2 linked regions of the Drosophila melanogaster genome follow. The protein of the gene in region 2 purifies or fractionates together with the protein of the main gene of each other region. This does not show direct contact. Each region holds a gene or a part of one and is shown on either strand. Other genes may lie near its edges.

What was found.
Region 1: the proteins of robo3 (region 2) and Ptp69D purify together in Drosophila melanogaster (affinity purification with western blotting, with the first as the bait; one study listed by BioGRID). This does not show direct contact.

What each region holds. Positions count from the first base shown.
Region 1 is NT_037436.4:12,732,864-12,742,237, reverse strand, and holds Ptp69D (protein tyrosine phosphatase 69D), read right to left. Parts: upstream 7,294-9,374; 5' UTR 7,086-7,293; coding exon 6,989-7,085; intron 6,181-6,988; coding exon 6,078-6,180; intron 5,986-6,077; coding exon 4,142-5,985; intron 4,083-4,141; coding exon 3,837-4,082; intron 3,779-3,836; coding exon 3,535-3,778; intron 3,467-3,534; coding exon 2,572-3,466; intron 2,513-2,571; coding exon 2,366-2,512; intron 2,310-2,365; coding exon 2,199-2,309; intron 2,130-2,198; coding exon 1,950-2,129; intron 1,886-1,949; coding exon 1,578-1,885; intron 1,517-1,577; coding exon 1,381-1,516; intron 1,319-1,380; coding exon 1,241-1,318; 3' UTR 670-1,240; downstream 1-669. Other genes in the region: CG32112 (uncharacterized protein), read right to left, coding at 289-377; small ribonucleoprotein particle protein SmD1, read left to right, coding at 7,722-7,735, 8,255-8,615. UniProt on the Drosophila melanogaster protein: Possible cell adhesion receptor.
Region 2 is NT_033779.5:1,254,041-1,260,467, reverse strand, and holds the start of robo3 (roundabout 3), read right to left. Parts: upstream 4,052-6,427; 5' UTR 3,578-4,051; coding exon 3,523-3,577; intron 1-3,522.

The DNA.
Region 1 (9,374 bases), on a different chromosome or scaffold from region 2:
CACATCTAGTTGCCTTTGAAAGAGGAAAAAGCAAATATATATTTAATTAATAAGTCAAACTATATTTTATTATTATTCAAAGGCACTTGTTTAAAAGAAAGCCCACCGAAACCATTAAAGATCTTGTAAACTAAAAGGACAAGAGTTTTCCCTTGCCCGCCGATTAACGGTAATTTAAATAACCTAGAGGAAATTGAATTGAAATTGAAATCATAATAGTATTACGTAAAGAATCCGTATGGGGAGCACTTATTTTTCGCCATTCTCCGTTTTCAATGAAAAACTCACTTGCGCAGGTTTTCCGGCTTGCCCCATCCCTTTTCGAAGAACCTCGTTATCAGCATGCGGCGATATATGCTATCTAGTTTACTCGGCATCTTCGGAAAATGGCAAATGGGGCTTCTTGTTTTGCCAAAATAATAATAAACAATACGTACGGTAGGGATGGTAAAACGTTTATTGCACTATCGATAACTGCGTAGAAACTTCCATGGTGATAAGACTTCCAATTTTAAAAACTGACAAAAATTTCGGATTATTAATTTTTGCAATGTCTACTAATCTGAAAACTAGTATAAAAAAAATAATAAAATACGAAATCGGTTTTGGTTTCTATGTCAGGTTGGTATATCATATTTATCGACTTATCGATTTGAAACAATGGTATGTGAAACAATTCAAATCTGCTTATTTTTATTTTATTAAAAATAAATTGTAGTACTTATAATTTATCAATACACATAAAGGAATACGGAAAAACGATAAATACATTTACTTAATTTTATGGATTTTTTGTCCCATATTTACAAAATGAAAAGTGTAATATTAAATACGTTCATAATGAAGTCATTTTTACAAACTGATAAGTGAAATATTCAAAACTATTATAAGAAAATTCGAAAACCATTAATCCACACAACCAAAAAGAATGTAAACCACACTTATCAAGCTCATAAAAAGTACAATTCTTATTCTCAGTTTTTATTACATTGTATCTTATAAAATATGTTACTTATTTTCCTTTGGTAGTTTTATCAATACGATACGTATACACTACATTTATATTTGTATGTATATTATGTGTCGGGCAAACGTAATTCGTTAAAAAAATTACGCTTGCTCTTGTAAATACTTTATTAAAAGATTTTATAAATATACAAATAATTTATCATAGCACATTTGATGCATTGATGTTCCAACACGTGCATTCTGTACTCGTATAAGTATATACATATCTAACTTAATCCAATGTTGACTCGGCTATGTGATGTAAGTCTGAATAATTAATTATTGCGCGATGTAGGAACTCGTATTGTGCCTAGAAACCATATAAACATCTAATTAATGCATTGACAATAAAATATAAACAAATTCACTTACGTATGAGTTGATAAGTCCCGTTCGCTGAGATCGTAATTTCCTTGTTGTGGCACAGATGTCGACACACTTCTCCAGCCTCAGATGCTGGACCAAAATACACATGGCGACGAAAATGGAACTTCGATCGGTTCCCAGGCTGCAAATAATTTATAATTGATTAATCCGTCAAGTGCATGAATCAAAGCATCGCCGCATACCTGCAATGAACTGTGAGTGGAGATCGACAACCAGAATTCTTGTTGTTCTTATAATGGTTGTATGCTTGATCTACAAGTTCTATAATGCCACGGCAGACTTCAGGAACTTCTCCGTCCACGGTGGGCCAACCATTGTATTGAAATTGTGTGACTTTCAGCGTATCGTCTATTTTGCAATTCGTAACATAAAATTCGCGGCGAGTATAGTATGGACAACTTTCGCTGTGCACGTATTTCACGAGTATGTGATCGTATTGAACCTCATCATCTGCCCAGTATCGCGGGCATTTCCTGGGACCATCTCCGATCTGCAATGCAATTAAAGCACTCAGTTGAATGGGAAACCAATAAAGTAGAGAGGGCACTACTCACTTCGGATATCATGACGAGGGTGGTAACACTCTGTTCCGAGATCATTCGCCAGAAGTCTCCTATAGTGTTTTCAAGTGGATCCTGGGCAATGATGAAGGTTTCGCTATTATCATAGCCCTCTATGAATGATGCGTTAATGTAAGTTGAGTTTTCCCGCATCGGAAGTGGTGTTAGTATAACCTTTAATTGCACAAAAACATTCACAAACATTAAACACAGTTCGCATAAAAGTTAGCCACTATTACTTACTCTGTTGCGATCGTAGGGTATAATCTCTTGACTTCTGTTCTTCATATTGTTCTCCTCGTTTTCGCCCACACTACATGATTTACTTATCTCATCTGCTGTGGCCAGTAGTTTCTGAAATAAATAGTAATAAGCAAAACGCCTGCAAGTAGATAACAAACTATACAAACCTCGAATTCCACTTCCAATTTGCATTTACCCTCGTTGGGTTTCCGCTTAAGAGATTCAATTGCAGAAGCCATTGTATCAATGCAAATATCCGTGTTTCCAAAGGTTCCAGTATCTAATAAAGCCCGGTAAAGAAAGATGTATTGTTTCTGCAAGCAAAAAGAAAGTTATTACAGCAACTACGAGTGGAATTTCCATATCTACGCACCAGAGATTGGACTAAAAAATTTCGTTGGTGTCGTAGATCACACACTGTGTTGTAAATGGACACCGAGTCTTCTTCCTCCAGCTGTTGGATTAGGGAATCTAAAGCCACCAGGGTTCCGGTTCTACCCACACCAGCACTGCAATGCACTAAAATTGGACCCCTTTGCAGGGAGTAGACGGAATTGATTTGACGTATGAATTTGATGATGCCATGTGGATGCTCTGGTGCCATGAAGTCCTTCCACGTTAGGTAGTGGTATTGGGTGATTTGTCTACGGTCCTCCTCCTCGCCGACATTGGCTTTGTTCTTGGAAACGTTCAGGGTACGTTCAATATAATCACCAGTCTTACGTTCTTGTGCAAATTTCACTAAAATATCTCCGAACTGTTTCGTATCAAATACTTTTTCTGGCCAATATTTCGCGCACTTGGCCTTGTTATATTCCTCCAAATTTGTAAGCATCACAATTATTTCTAGATGTTGTTCCCAAATCATTCGCCAAAAATCATCGATGGTACTTTCCATTGGACCCTGTGCACAGATAAACTTCTTTCTCTCCTTGTAGCCAATTACGAAGTTAGCATTGATGTAGTCCGTAGTTTGCAGGCCATTGATGACAGCCAACTTTACGCGCGTCTGATCGTAAGCCTTTATATCGGGATACCTGTTCTTGCAGGCGTTCTCCTTTAAATCACTGTTTTTAGTTGTCCGATCGCTAAAGCGATTTGGCAGCATCTCATATTCCCGCAGAAATCCGTAGTCAGTGTCCTTATGTCGGTTCTTGTAGGCGTTTTCTAAATCTAATCTGTGAATGGGGCCAGCGTCGAATCCTTTGTGATTTCCGGAAGTTATAAAATGACTGTGGTTGTGATTTCGTCGACCGAACAATGCCCTGCTTGATGTGAAGAAACAATTGAATATTAATTGAAATCACATCAAGAAGATCAAACAATTACTAGTTACCTCAAAGAATCTCTTAGTGTTAAAGTGTCTTCGCCCTGCAGTTCATTCTTGGTTTTCTTGTGATGGAAAACCCACAGCACAATAAATACAAGTATGACACCAAGTAATACGGCTCCAGCCTTGACCCCAATGCTTAGGTAGTAGTCCATATTGTTCAAGGATTGGATGGGTTCAGCTTCAGTCGCCGGAGTAATTATATCAAAGTATTTGCTATAAGCCATCAGGGCATTGTTTCGATCCCGAACTGAGGAAAATAAACATGATATTACCATTTTGCTTTCAAAAAATCAATCATTACGCACCTATTATCTCTAGGAATCCGGTGTAGTTGGAGTTAATATCTATCTCACCATCGAAGACATCTCGACTAGAATCGTGGAGTGGCACATTTGGGTTGACGGCGCTTAGAATTGGATTCTCATCGCTGGTCACCGCGTTTCTTTTATCCCTTAACTTACTTTCTAAGATTTTCAGAGCATGCTCTGTTAAGTTTGCTCCTTTGATCAAGTTGTCCTTCTCCGACAAAATGGGCAGTTCAGAATCGGAATCTAAAGAAAAGCACATTAGTTTCAAATAAAAAAAAATAAATAAAGTTTATATTAATTACTTGATAGTGAACCTTGTGGGGGTATGTGAATGATCTCGGGTTTCCTCAGAAATGGAGTACCCTCCAAGCATTTCCGACAAATTTCGTCGTTGTCGCGGATTATATCGTTGTTCTCACTAAATCTCTTTTCATCGCCCAAGAATATTTCCGGCCTAAAGTACTTGCTACTTATCATTTCCGCTATATATGCACTACTTCTAGTCACGTTATCGCTGTGAACCTCCTGATATGTGGCGATGTTTAGCTTCTCCGGGTCCGGCAATTCCTTGTTGTCATTGTTAATTCTAACTAGATACAATCTATAGCAGCATATGGGCCCATTGCGTTCGCTGATCTTCGGTAGATACAACTTGAGAACGTACTTGGAGTCCAGGTTCACCTTTGACCACATGGTACGGCCAATGGCATCCGGCGTGGAGACGGGCATTAGACAACTTCCGGTGGCCGGTTCGCCGTTCTTCTTGTGCCGCGTTATGGCAGACACCGTCACCGTGTAGTTTGTGTTCGGGCTAACACTTTCGTAGAGGGTCTTGTGATGGGGTTCATCGATTCTTCGAATCTTTGGTCCCCACATCTCTCTATCCACTGTGCTCATGGGATTGCCCAGCAAGTGAATTAAATATGACACAACCTTGCCGTTTGGCGTCTTGGGAACGTCCCAGTTAATGGCGATGGAGTTGCCTCTCGTGACGTTGTCATGATGACACTGTATGCTCAAGTTGGTGGGTTTTGTTGCCACGCCGTCCATCGTTGTGCCGTTCACGTTTTCGGACCATGGTCCACAAGTCTTGGTTAGATCACTACATGCCCTTACCCTAAATTCGTAGTCTGTGGCGGTCTTAAGCTTATCAAACATGTATGGCAAGTTTCGAGAATTCTGCTGGTAAATGGCCTCTTCGATCACTTTGGGCACCTCGCCCGATTCGGAGACAATCAGTTCGTAGTATTGTATATAATCAATGAGATCTGGCGGCGGTGGATTCCAGCCAATCGTTATCGTGGACGCCGTGCTGCCGGTGGTCTCGACTTTTGGTATAAATATGGGATCATAACTAAGCGTGGTGATTCCCTGGGGATACTGGGTGGGTTGGCCATTGCCAATCGAGTTCTTTCCCACGATTCTTAAAAAATAGGTTGTGTTCGGCTTGAAATGGTCCAGAATATACGATGTATGGCTGCCGTTAATAAAGTCCTTATGATAAGTAAAAGTCGGTGTTCCAGCCTCCTGCAGAGTGATGAAGAACTTCTGAATTGGATCGTTGCCGTCGTTAACGGTCCAATTTAGGTATATTTTATTAGCACCAACTGCCTTGGCGAAATCAATGCTAACTTGTGGCACTTCCATTACGAAAAGGGTAATCTCTTTGGAGGTAATTTCGAGTCCGGTGTCATCGAAGACGGTGCACTTGTAGGTGCCATTCTCTTTCTTGTAAACTTCTGTGAATTCCAGGGTGAAGTTTAAGTGCGTATCGTTTAGCTTCGAAATGGACGAGAAGGTGTCCAGGAATTCAAACTGGCTGCCGTCCTTAAGCCACTTGAGGTTTCTATTAGTTGTCTCATTTTGTGGGTACATCTCGATCAAACAGTACAACATGACATCCTGCTTGATTTTTCTCTTAATCCTATCGGGGGTACTTTGCAGGACTTTGGATGGAAGGTATGGCCTAACTTGGAATTCAGTCGAATGGTTTTGCCCCGTTTGGGCTGTGCATGTGTAGTTCCCCGAGTCCTTTATATTGACATCGAGAAGCGCCAGGACATTCTTATACTTGATGAAGTCTTGACTATCGTTGTTTTCACTGCCATCGTCGTTGGATTTCAATGGCTCAGTTCTTATTTTATATCTGAAAAGATCGAAAAATGATCAGATTATTATGTTATTCCATCTTTATGGGGGCAGAAATATTTTTAGATGCTTGTGCAATAAGTTACTAACCTTGTATGGTTTTTATTAATAGTTTGGTTGCCCAGCTTCCATGCTACTGCTTCGTTTTCAGATGCGCACTCTAGAGATACGTTTTTACCTATTTCTGCCCACTCTGTAAATAAATTTCATTAAAATAATTATCAGTTTTGTATATAGACGTAATTATAGAAATTACACCGATCTAGTAGCAACATGCTTCTGTCAGCCTAAAAATATGTTAGACTTAAAATATATCTTCCTGATTAATGGTTGTGTATATTTAAATCTGATTATAGCTTCCGGGTTTTATGCGATTTAGTAAAATATTCAAATTAGAACTATATTGAAGGAAAATTTCTTATTTAACTTTCCTATTAAATTTTAAGTTTTATGATGGACACCAAGAAAGGTTTTTCTGGATGGGCGGTAAAAGCCAGACATAAAAATGAAACTACACCCACAATATTGGCCATAAAACTCGCGGTAGTAATCCGGCGTAATTTCGGAATCAACACGTATTTAGCTGAAGAAATATTACAAATATATATATATGTGATTATATTTCAGATAAATCAGATAGATGTACATAAGTATGTACGCAGAAACATAAAACGTATGTATGTACCGGGAAGTGTGTACATATGTATGCGCGACTACTTTTGTTTAGCCCCAATTGAAATCTCACCCCATCGCCGTAATCTTTGGGCGTTACCGACATAGTTCGAGTGCTACTGTATCTAAGAACTATACAACCGTCTTGTTAACCACCATATCAAATGATAATTCCAGTTTCCAACTTAATGTAAAACACTCCATTCACATTTGCAAAAACAACACAAAAAAAAAATGAGACATTGCAATTTGTTGACACCCACAAACGGTTCTTGATGTACGTATGTATGTACCAATTATGATGTTCGTCTGAGTTTTTGAAACATTACCTTGTTTCACAGATCCTTGCACACATATCGCACAAAGGAAAATATATGCAAGAATTATATTTAATAGCATCGACATGCGTCGGTAGAGTAACGCCATGGCTTGCTAATTTCTCACTCCGAGCCGGATAAATACATATGTCAAAAATTATATTCGATGTCTGCGTTGAGTTAAAAAGCTCTACTGCGTTGAACTAATGTCGCGGCGAGTGCAAAACACCGACAAATGTGTTTTATTAAAAACCAGTTAATAGACGGCGACCGCGAATAAGTATTAATCGTTATTTTCTTAACACTGGATTGTTTTTTTTTCGCGATATGCGGCGTTATCGATAAGTCAGTCGAATATGTACCCTTGGCTGCGGTTACCAAGGGATTTGGAACAACTGAATTGGAATATAATCGTATATTATAATAATATAATCGTAATCGTATTTATTAACATGAGTAATTAATAAGACACAAGTATTTATTTATAGAGCAGTATGACATTAATTGTTACTTAATTGTTGCAAATTTATAATTTATTTCTGGAATGCATTAATTCATTTATTACTTCATATTCACTTTTATTACGATTCCGTTTGGTAGCCGATATATTTTACAATACCAATGAGCGTTGCTATCTTAGCACACGATACAACAGTTCACCGCAACCACCAAATTCCAAGTAAACTAGCCGGCATTGTTTGTGCGCGTTTTTTTTTGCAGAAAACCACCAAAAACACATAAAAACATGAAATTAGTAAGGTATGTTATGCGTCATTTACCTAAACTAAAACTAAACTTGTTAGCAATGCGTGCAGTATAGTTTCATTCAGTTTTTGAGTTCTGCGATTCTGCACACATGTATGCATGCAAAAGCGATGCTCCCATTTGTTGTTTTTGTACACAAAATTTAATTTAATACGAATGTTGTTTTGATCTGTTATTATAATAGTTTTCCATTATTTACTTGTATCTGGTAACAATTCTTGCACTTTAAGTAGCATTTTGCATAACTATATTCAATGCAATCAACGCTCTTAATCCAAGGCCACCAAATACAAGCTACCTTTAAATTCGTACTAATTTGCTAAAAGTAAAGGCTCTACTAAGTATATTTCATCATAAAGGCTGCTTGCATACACCTTATTGTATCTCATTTTTCAATCACCCAATAAGATATTTGTTTCTACCTATAATAGCCTTGCATCTCTGAAATGCTGCATCTTTGCAACAGGGATTTCCTTAATTTCGTTTACTAATCTTCCCGTTGATGCATTACAGATTCCTTATGAAGCTAAGTCACGAGACCGTGACCATCGAACTGAAGAACGGCACCCAGATCCACGGCACCATTACCGGCGTGGATGTGGCCATGAACACTCACCTGAAGAGCGTTCGGATGACGATCAAGAACCGGGATCCCGTCCACCTGGAGACGCTGAGCATTCGCGGCAACAACATCAGATACTTTATACTGCCGGACAGCCTGCCGCTGGAGACGCTCCTCATCGACGACACCCCGAAGTCGAAGACAAAAAAGAAGGACAGCGGCCGCGTGGGAAATCGCGGCAGGGGCAGAGGCGCCCGCGGACGAGGTGGTCCACGGGGTCGCGGAAGGGGCCGAGCTTCAGGCCGACGTTAATCTTTGTAACAGCTACATCTAATAAACAATATTCGATAAATATAGAATATAAATATTCTTTGGATAAATCCACACTGTATGCATTTACTATGTACGAACAACTGACAAATGTCTTCAGCTAGTAAAGAAACTCCATCTGAATATGTATATTGTTAAAAATCACTCTGTGTAGTAGCTCAGGAAAAATGTGTTTACTTGGCAACAAATTGAAAGAAGACTCCCGCCATTAAATTATGATTAAAAATGTTTGAAAGTTTGTAAAAACGCTTTTTTATACTTTTAATTGTTTTTGGACGCACAAAATGTCTTTCAAATGTTCAACAATAGTAGGAGAAAACTGTGTTACTTAAGCTAGGCTATAGATTCAAATATATTTACTACTGCCATTAGGATGCGTGGTGAACAATGAAACAAACGACAATGTTAAACCCATGAAATGGGCATCGCCTTAAAACTGGTTAACTTAAGAGATTCTACTTTAAGTAACGGATTGGAAAACATATCAAAAGAAACAATAGATATAGGGATAATGGAGTAACCCTCACTTTAAAACCCATTATTAAGGACAAAAAAATATAAGTGATTTGTTTAAGTTTTCAAAGGCAGGTTGAACCGGTTCCGATAATATATCGAAATGTCAAATTGTGGAACTTGCTCCGATCAATTATCGCTATTCGGGTTCGGATACCCGCTAAAAGTAAGGCGCCAATTTTAAATCTTAAAATTTAAATTAGGAATGTCTTTTGATAACACAATTTT
Region 2 (6,427 bases):
AAGTTAATCAAAATATGGCGATTATGGGGCTAGCTTTGAATGGTGTCCTGCATGTCCTTTGTGGCCATTGTTTGCCTAGTGCGTTTGCACCAGCAAGCAAATAAACAAGTGTCCTGTGTGTTTTTGTGCGCATCTCTGCTCTATTTGTATTATGACAGCCGTTCAATTGATGCTGAAATTAATTAAAATTTTCCCTCGCATGCTCATGTGCGGCTGTGTTTGTGTGTTTGCCACAGGACTATCTGCCTGAATTGTCCTTTGGCCCAAGGCTAAGATAAATTACAATTTGCCAGGACGTTGTGAATACAACTGGAAACTGGTAATTGCTTTGCATGGAAATTGTGTGTGTAAAAACAGCAGTAGGAGTTGGCTAAAATAAATATTCGACTAGCTAATGGGTTTTATACTAAGCCAAATATTTTTGCACAGCTTTGTTGTTTCATTTATCTAATTCGCTTGTAGTTTCAACTAATGTTAGTTATTTCAACATATTGATATACTCAATAAAACTGTGAACCTCTCTTATTGAATTTTCCATAGATATGTAGAAATTTTTCCTAGTCAATTGCCACTGTGCTTGATAAACTGCCAAGTAAATACTGTATCTCTACCCGACTGGCTTTCAATTTCTCAAATATTTCTATATTTAATGGACTCCAGATTAATTCCATATTACTTTATTACTTGCCGACCGGGTCCTTCTCCCTGAAGGAATAAATACCTTCGTCCTTTCAATTAACTCGAGTCTGGCCAAATAATACCTATTCTCATGGCACCGACCCCGAAGTCGGAAAAGAGCAAAATTCGAGCAGGTCCTTCGAGTTTTTGGGCGGAAAGTCTTAAAGGCAGCCGATGGGGTTCGTTCTAGCATCTAAAATAATTTAACCCTTTTTTTCCCCTTCTTTTAAAGTAATTTAATGCCTCAGTTACGAGGGAAGCCCACACATTCCGCAGAGAGACGGCCAATTCTCTCGTCTGCCATTGATGCCGCTGGCTAAGGGGCAAGAATAGATTCGTTGCTACATGGGGAATATTCCGTGGCACTTATCAAAGGCAGCAACAATTTAGGTTAAATACTCATTAATATTCCGGTCTGCCAAACTTTTTCCTACTTCGCCGTGCGGATGGCCCTGTGTTTTTGCCCTTTGCTTTCGGTAGCCGCCAGGCACGAGGGCCAAATACAAGACAACCGATCCGAGTCCTTTCTCGAATCCCAGCCAAATAAATAAGCACACGCACATGAAGAGCCGAGCCGAGCCGAGCCAAGCACACAGGCAAAAACATACAGCAGAAATTAATTTTGCGTAGCCTACTTTCTTGGGCGAGAGACCAGGAGCAAAACAAGCGACCCAGCAATTTCCCGGGAAAATGATAATTGCCTGGTAACGCAGTCTACATAATGCATAATTTATAAATTAAGCAAACTTGGGCAAAGTTGGGAAACGAAAATTATGGCACACGACTGGGAGCCGTTTTGCGAAACTGGCATTCGAATTGGGCCAAAAGCTGTAACAGATATGGGAAAATATTGTATTTATATTTATAAATAAAGCTCGAATTAAAGGCACTTAGTGAATTGTAATCCATATTTGGGTACGCGAAAAAATCTGAAACTCCGACAGAATACAGAGGTACGATTAATTTACCCAAAAGAAGAATCTTTCGCTGAAAGTATTTAATTTTCTTTTATTGGATACACCGCACACGAGCAGAAGGCAGCCAACCCACTAAAATGCCAATATATTTTTTGTTCGAAATTTATTGCATACTTTCGAGAGTAGCGTGGGAGCGGGCGAGAGGATCTGCGCGAGCAGGACGGCGATACAAGGACACGCGTGTTGTCGGGATTTATTTATTTACTCCACCATATCCTTCATCCTGCATTGGCGGATTTTGTGCGCTGATAAAAATTTTGACATGCCAAACGAGGGGAGCAGCCGGGAAAAGAATTTCGGGGGGGGGGGGGGATAATGGAAAGCCCGAAGAGGATGTAACAACAAAATGACAGGATATTATTCAATTGAATTCGTTTACATGCATGAACTACATAATAAAAATGCCCTTAACCAAAAAAGGAGATCCAAGCGTAAAAAACGCAAATTGAACAGCGGCAACATGGCCGCACACACACATATGTACATATGTACATACATACATACTCGTATATGTGCTACCTCCGAAAAATATGAATAATCTTTTGTATCATTTGTGGCCGGGCAGAAATGCTTTTTTGTGGGCCCACATTTATATGTTTGCTTTTTGGGGCAAAGTGTGGGAAGCCCCTTGTTAAATGCGCATATTTTATGCAACAAAAACATGCCGCTTGAGCCATGCCCCTGAGTACTCACTTGTATTCAGAGCCACGACTCGAATTCATACTCATTTCGCTTAGTTAGCCAGCCCGAGGGGAATCCCCGGCTTGTTTCTCGTTTCTTGGCAGAACATTTTCCACTAATTTGTTGGGCTGAAAGCAGCGGAAATTGTTTTGCGTCTGGCACAAAAGTTTTGCTCATACGAATTCCCATTTGATGGCTACAACTTATTGGTGAGATAAGCAAGAGTTATAAATTATAGTTGGCAAAAGTTTTCGGGAGGAAGTAATCAATGCATTACGCATAAGCATGTTTGAGCGGATGGAACGATTCGGGAAATGCCTTAAGTTATCTGCCAGTTTAGGCCAATAAATGCAAATCAGGAAATATGCTAATCTGGCAACTAAAGTTTGGTAGCGATTAGGCAGGATGAGCAAGGGAATTAATTCAGAGTGTAGATTTAATGGAAATTGTGTTGCCACAATAACTCTACTACTTGGAATATTATGTGTGAAATGTTACCAAGCTTAGTTATTCAACATTTGATTTATCAATAATAACCGAATTATATTTCAGTCTATTCTTAGCTCATTTTGATTCAAAGTTTTAAGTCTTAGTAAATTGCTTTGGTGGCTTCTTCAGCTATCAGCACGGACTTTATCCATTTACTAATGCCGAGTATTTATGTATCTTTCTGGGACAAGTCTGTCTCCGGAATGCAGATTCCCAGTCAAGTCTACGTATCAATAAACCAGCATTCAGGTGAATCCAAGCCTGACAACCAACATTCTGGCAAGCCTTTGGACGAGCCATTCAACACCTGTCGGCAATCATCATAAATATGCCCGGCTCCCAAAACATCTCGGCCAAGTGAGTCGGATGAGTTAAATGCAACTCATTACGGGATCGCAGAGCTATACAAATGTCGTGCATTCACGAGCTGGCACTTCTGTCTCTGTTGAGCAATTTTCTATGGCATATTTGCAATTGCAGGCCGGCTGAATTGCACTTGAATTGCACCCGTCTCCGCCTTTCATCCACATCCATATCCACCCACTCGGAGCCCAGAACCCAGAGCTTGTGGCAGCTGCACAAACAGAGAATGCCAGGCAAACGCAGGAGAGGATAGGATGGATTGATGGACGGAAGGAAGGAAGTCCATGACCAGGATAGGTTTTTGCACCAGTTGTGTATTTTTATTCGAGCTTACCTTGTGCATGGGTCCACTTGAGCAGGAAAACGATGAATACGAAACGTAAATCCATTTTACAATTTTTTACAGTATTTCGCCTTAAGATAAACTGGCTAAAAAAGCTGAGCACGAGCACTTATTTGCCCAGCCCAACTCCTGGCACACACACACACAAATACACACCGGCACACAGACACAGGGGAGCGACTCCCGCAGGGATATAAAGATATATATATCTATTCGAGTTGCTTGATTTTTACTCGACTTCCATTCGCACACTATTCGCTACACTTCCCCTGCAGTTTAGCAGTTTACAATGTATTTTGCGGCCGCAGTACTTCCGCTTCCTTTTTGGCCAGGCCAAATTTGGCCAAAGTCTGGCCCTCGCATGTCCGTTGTGTCAATTAGCTGATTTCCGAGCAATTTCGCACTTCGTTTGTTTATGTTTGCTGCCAATCCAGTCGCCCACGAAGCTGGCCCAAACAACTGGGCACCAAAAAAGCTCGACACGCGCTCACTTTCAGCTCGATAACCGTTGGCGGCAGTAACCAAAACTCAACTGAACGGCGTCCCACGGCCAACTCGATATGGGGTTCCTTCAGATCCGGAGACCGGGAACAGTCCACAGCAATGTTCGCTGGGTGGTGAGTTCCGGCCTTCGGAGCAGCTCGGCCAGTTCGGAACTCGGGGAACTGGGGAAGTCGGAAGAGCAACATTTCGGAGTAAATTCCTGCAGGCAAATCAGCTGTTTCAGCGGGGAAAGCTCGGGAAAACGAAAAGTAATCGAATTCCGTATGATAAGGAGGTATCATCATATAAGAGGCTTTCTGTAATGTTTGTAATGCTATGTGTTTCCGTAAAGTACAATCATACTAGTAAATTTTATAACAAAATGGCAGCCTTCTAATGGTAGTTTGGTGTTTATCTTATATCAATAGGGTTTTTAAAATTTCCAAAAACAAATAAATAATATTGAAATGGCTTCTCAACATTGTAGTTTCTGGTCTCAGTCAGGTTTGTTTATCATCACAGTTGCGAGCATAAACATTTGTTGCTGAATCCTGCCGGCAAAAGTGGTGAGTCTGCGCACTGGCCGAATAAACAACATTTTCGGAGTTTCAACCGGAATTCCTTCGCTCTCTGAATGCTTACAACATTGTGAGAGAATGGTAAAATATATTCACTGAATGAGAACCAGAAAAGCAGCGAGTAAGTTTGAATATTTCGAAATAGCCGTTAAATGCCGATGCAGATAAGATATATTCCAGTTGCACAGTAATGACACTCCTAATAGATGCTGATTACAGATATCAATGTCATGATTGAAACCTATTGTTTTGCTAATATCAAAATAATTAATCATTTCAAGTATTACTTTAATTTGATAGCTTTCATATCCTTCTACATATTCATCAATCCCCTGACTTTATTCACATGACTTCGAGTTCTTTGTTTTCCCCCGGGGCATTAGGCACTTCAACTTGCTGCTAACCCGCATTTGAGGGCAATCTGCTGAATCGAACCAAACATCAGTGGCATAGTTAATTAGGATCTCGGGAGCCGACATCGTCTTTCACCTGCTGATTCCTGTCGTTTGCAGGCACCGCAATCAAAATTAGCTCAGTGGCTTGCGGTGGTGATGCATTTGGGTCCCCGCGCCCTAGGAGTCCCCACCACATCATTCCTTTCGCCCCCATTCTAGATCGCATAAACAACAATTAAAACGCTACAAATTGCACACACAAACATCCTTCAAAGGATGTGACCCATTCCCCGCTACCCGGCTTTTCAGTCCGGTAAGTATTCTCTTTTTGCCGTTCCCCGCTGTTTTTCTCTTTCTTCAATTATTTCCGATTATTACCAGGAGGAACTCAATGGAAAAGCAGGGGGAGGGAGGGCGAGGGATGGATGGCTGAGGTCGAGGTGGATGCTTCAAAATCCATGTTAATTGCTATTTTGCTCCCATTGGCTTTAAAAATCCTTGCAAGAAAACTAACAACCTGGGGGTCAGATTTTCCTGATTTGCCATTCATTCTACGGCCAGGACAATAACAACTCCGAGGGAATATCCTTGCTGCTCCCCTAGTACACTTTCCTCTGCTTTTACTCGTGGGAAAAGGGAGAACCGGAGAACAGACAGAATGGAAAGATGCGGGGGGAGTGGGAAATTACACTGGCGACCCAGTAAAGTAAGTTCCGAAGATAAACTGCAATCGAAGAACGTTGACTGAATGATAAATTACACTTGACAATGGACACCCACACATCCTTACACCCCCACACATCCACTCACACTCTTGCAGATGTGACGCGTGTGTGGCAGGACTCCACTGTCCAGGACTCCACTTTTCCTCCAGCTGGCCTTCTTTTGCTCGTTTGTCATAAGTTTACTTTTAATATAAAAGTTTCCTCGCTTTGGTTATGTTGAAAAGTGATCATCGTGATAATTACACGCCCATAATGATGGGGCTTGTGCACAGTGGGTCAAAAGCAACTATAAAGGACATAACATATACAAATATAAATACAAATTATGAGTTCCTTTACCAAATCATGTATAAATTAAATAATTATTTATAAATTTACCAATCTATCATAATGTCTAACTGATTGCAGCACTTATGCGCGCATTTGTTTAATTTTAAATGCATTTATTAGATGACAGATGAGCCGTCTGTCAACCCATATTTCATAAAAAGTTGAAGGCACTTTTCGCATTCCTTGGCAGCGTGGTTTTGGGCGTCAAGCTGGGTCCGTCCGTCAGGGGGCGCCACTGCCACCGTGCCCGAAGATTTATGTGCTCATGTGGTCAGAGATACGAAGGACCCCCGCCAGGACTTCTCCAGCGCCAGCTCCCCGTTTTCAGTTTCTTGAGTGCCAAGGAGCTCGAGTGTGTTTGTCAGCTGGGTGGGGGAAATGGTGG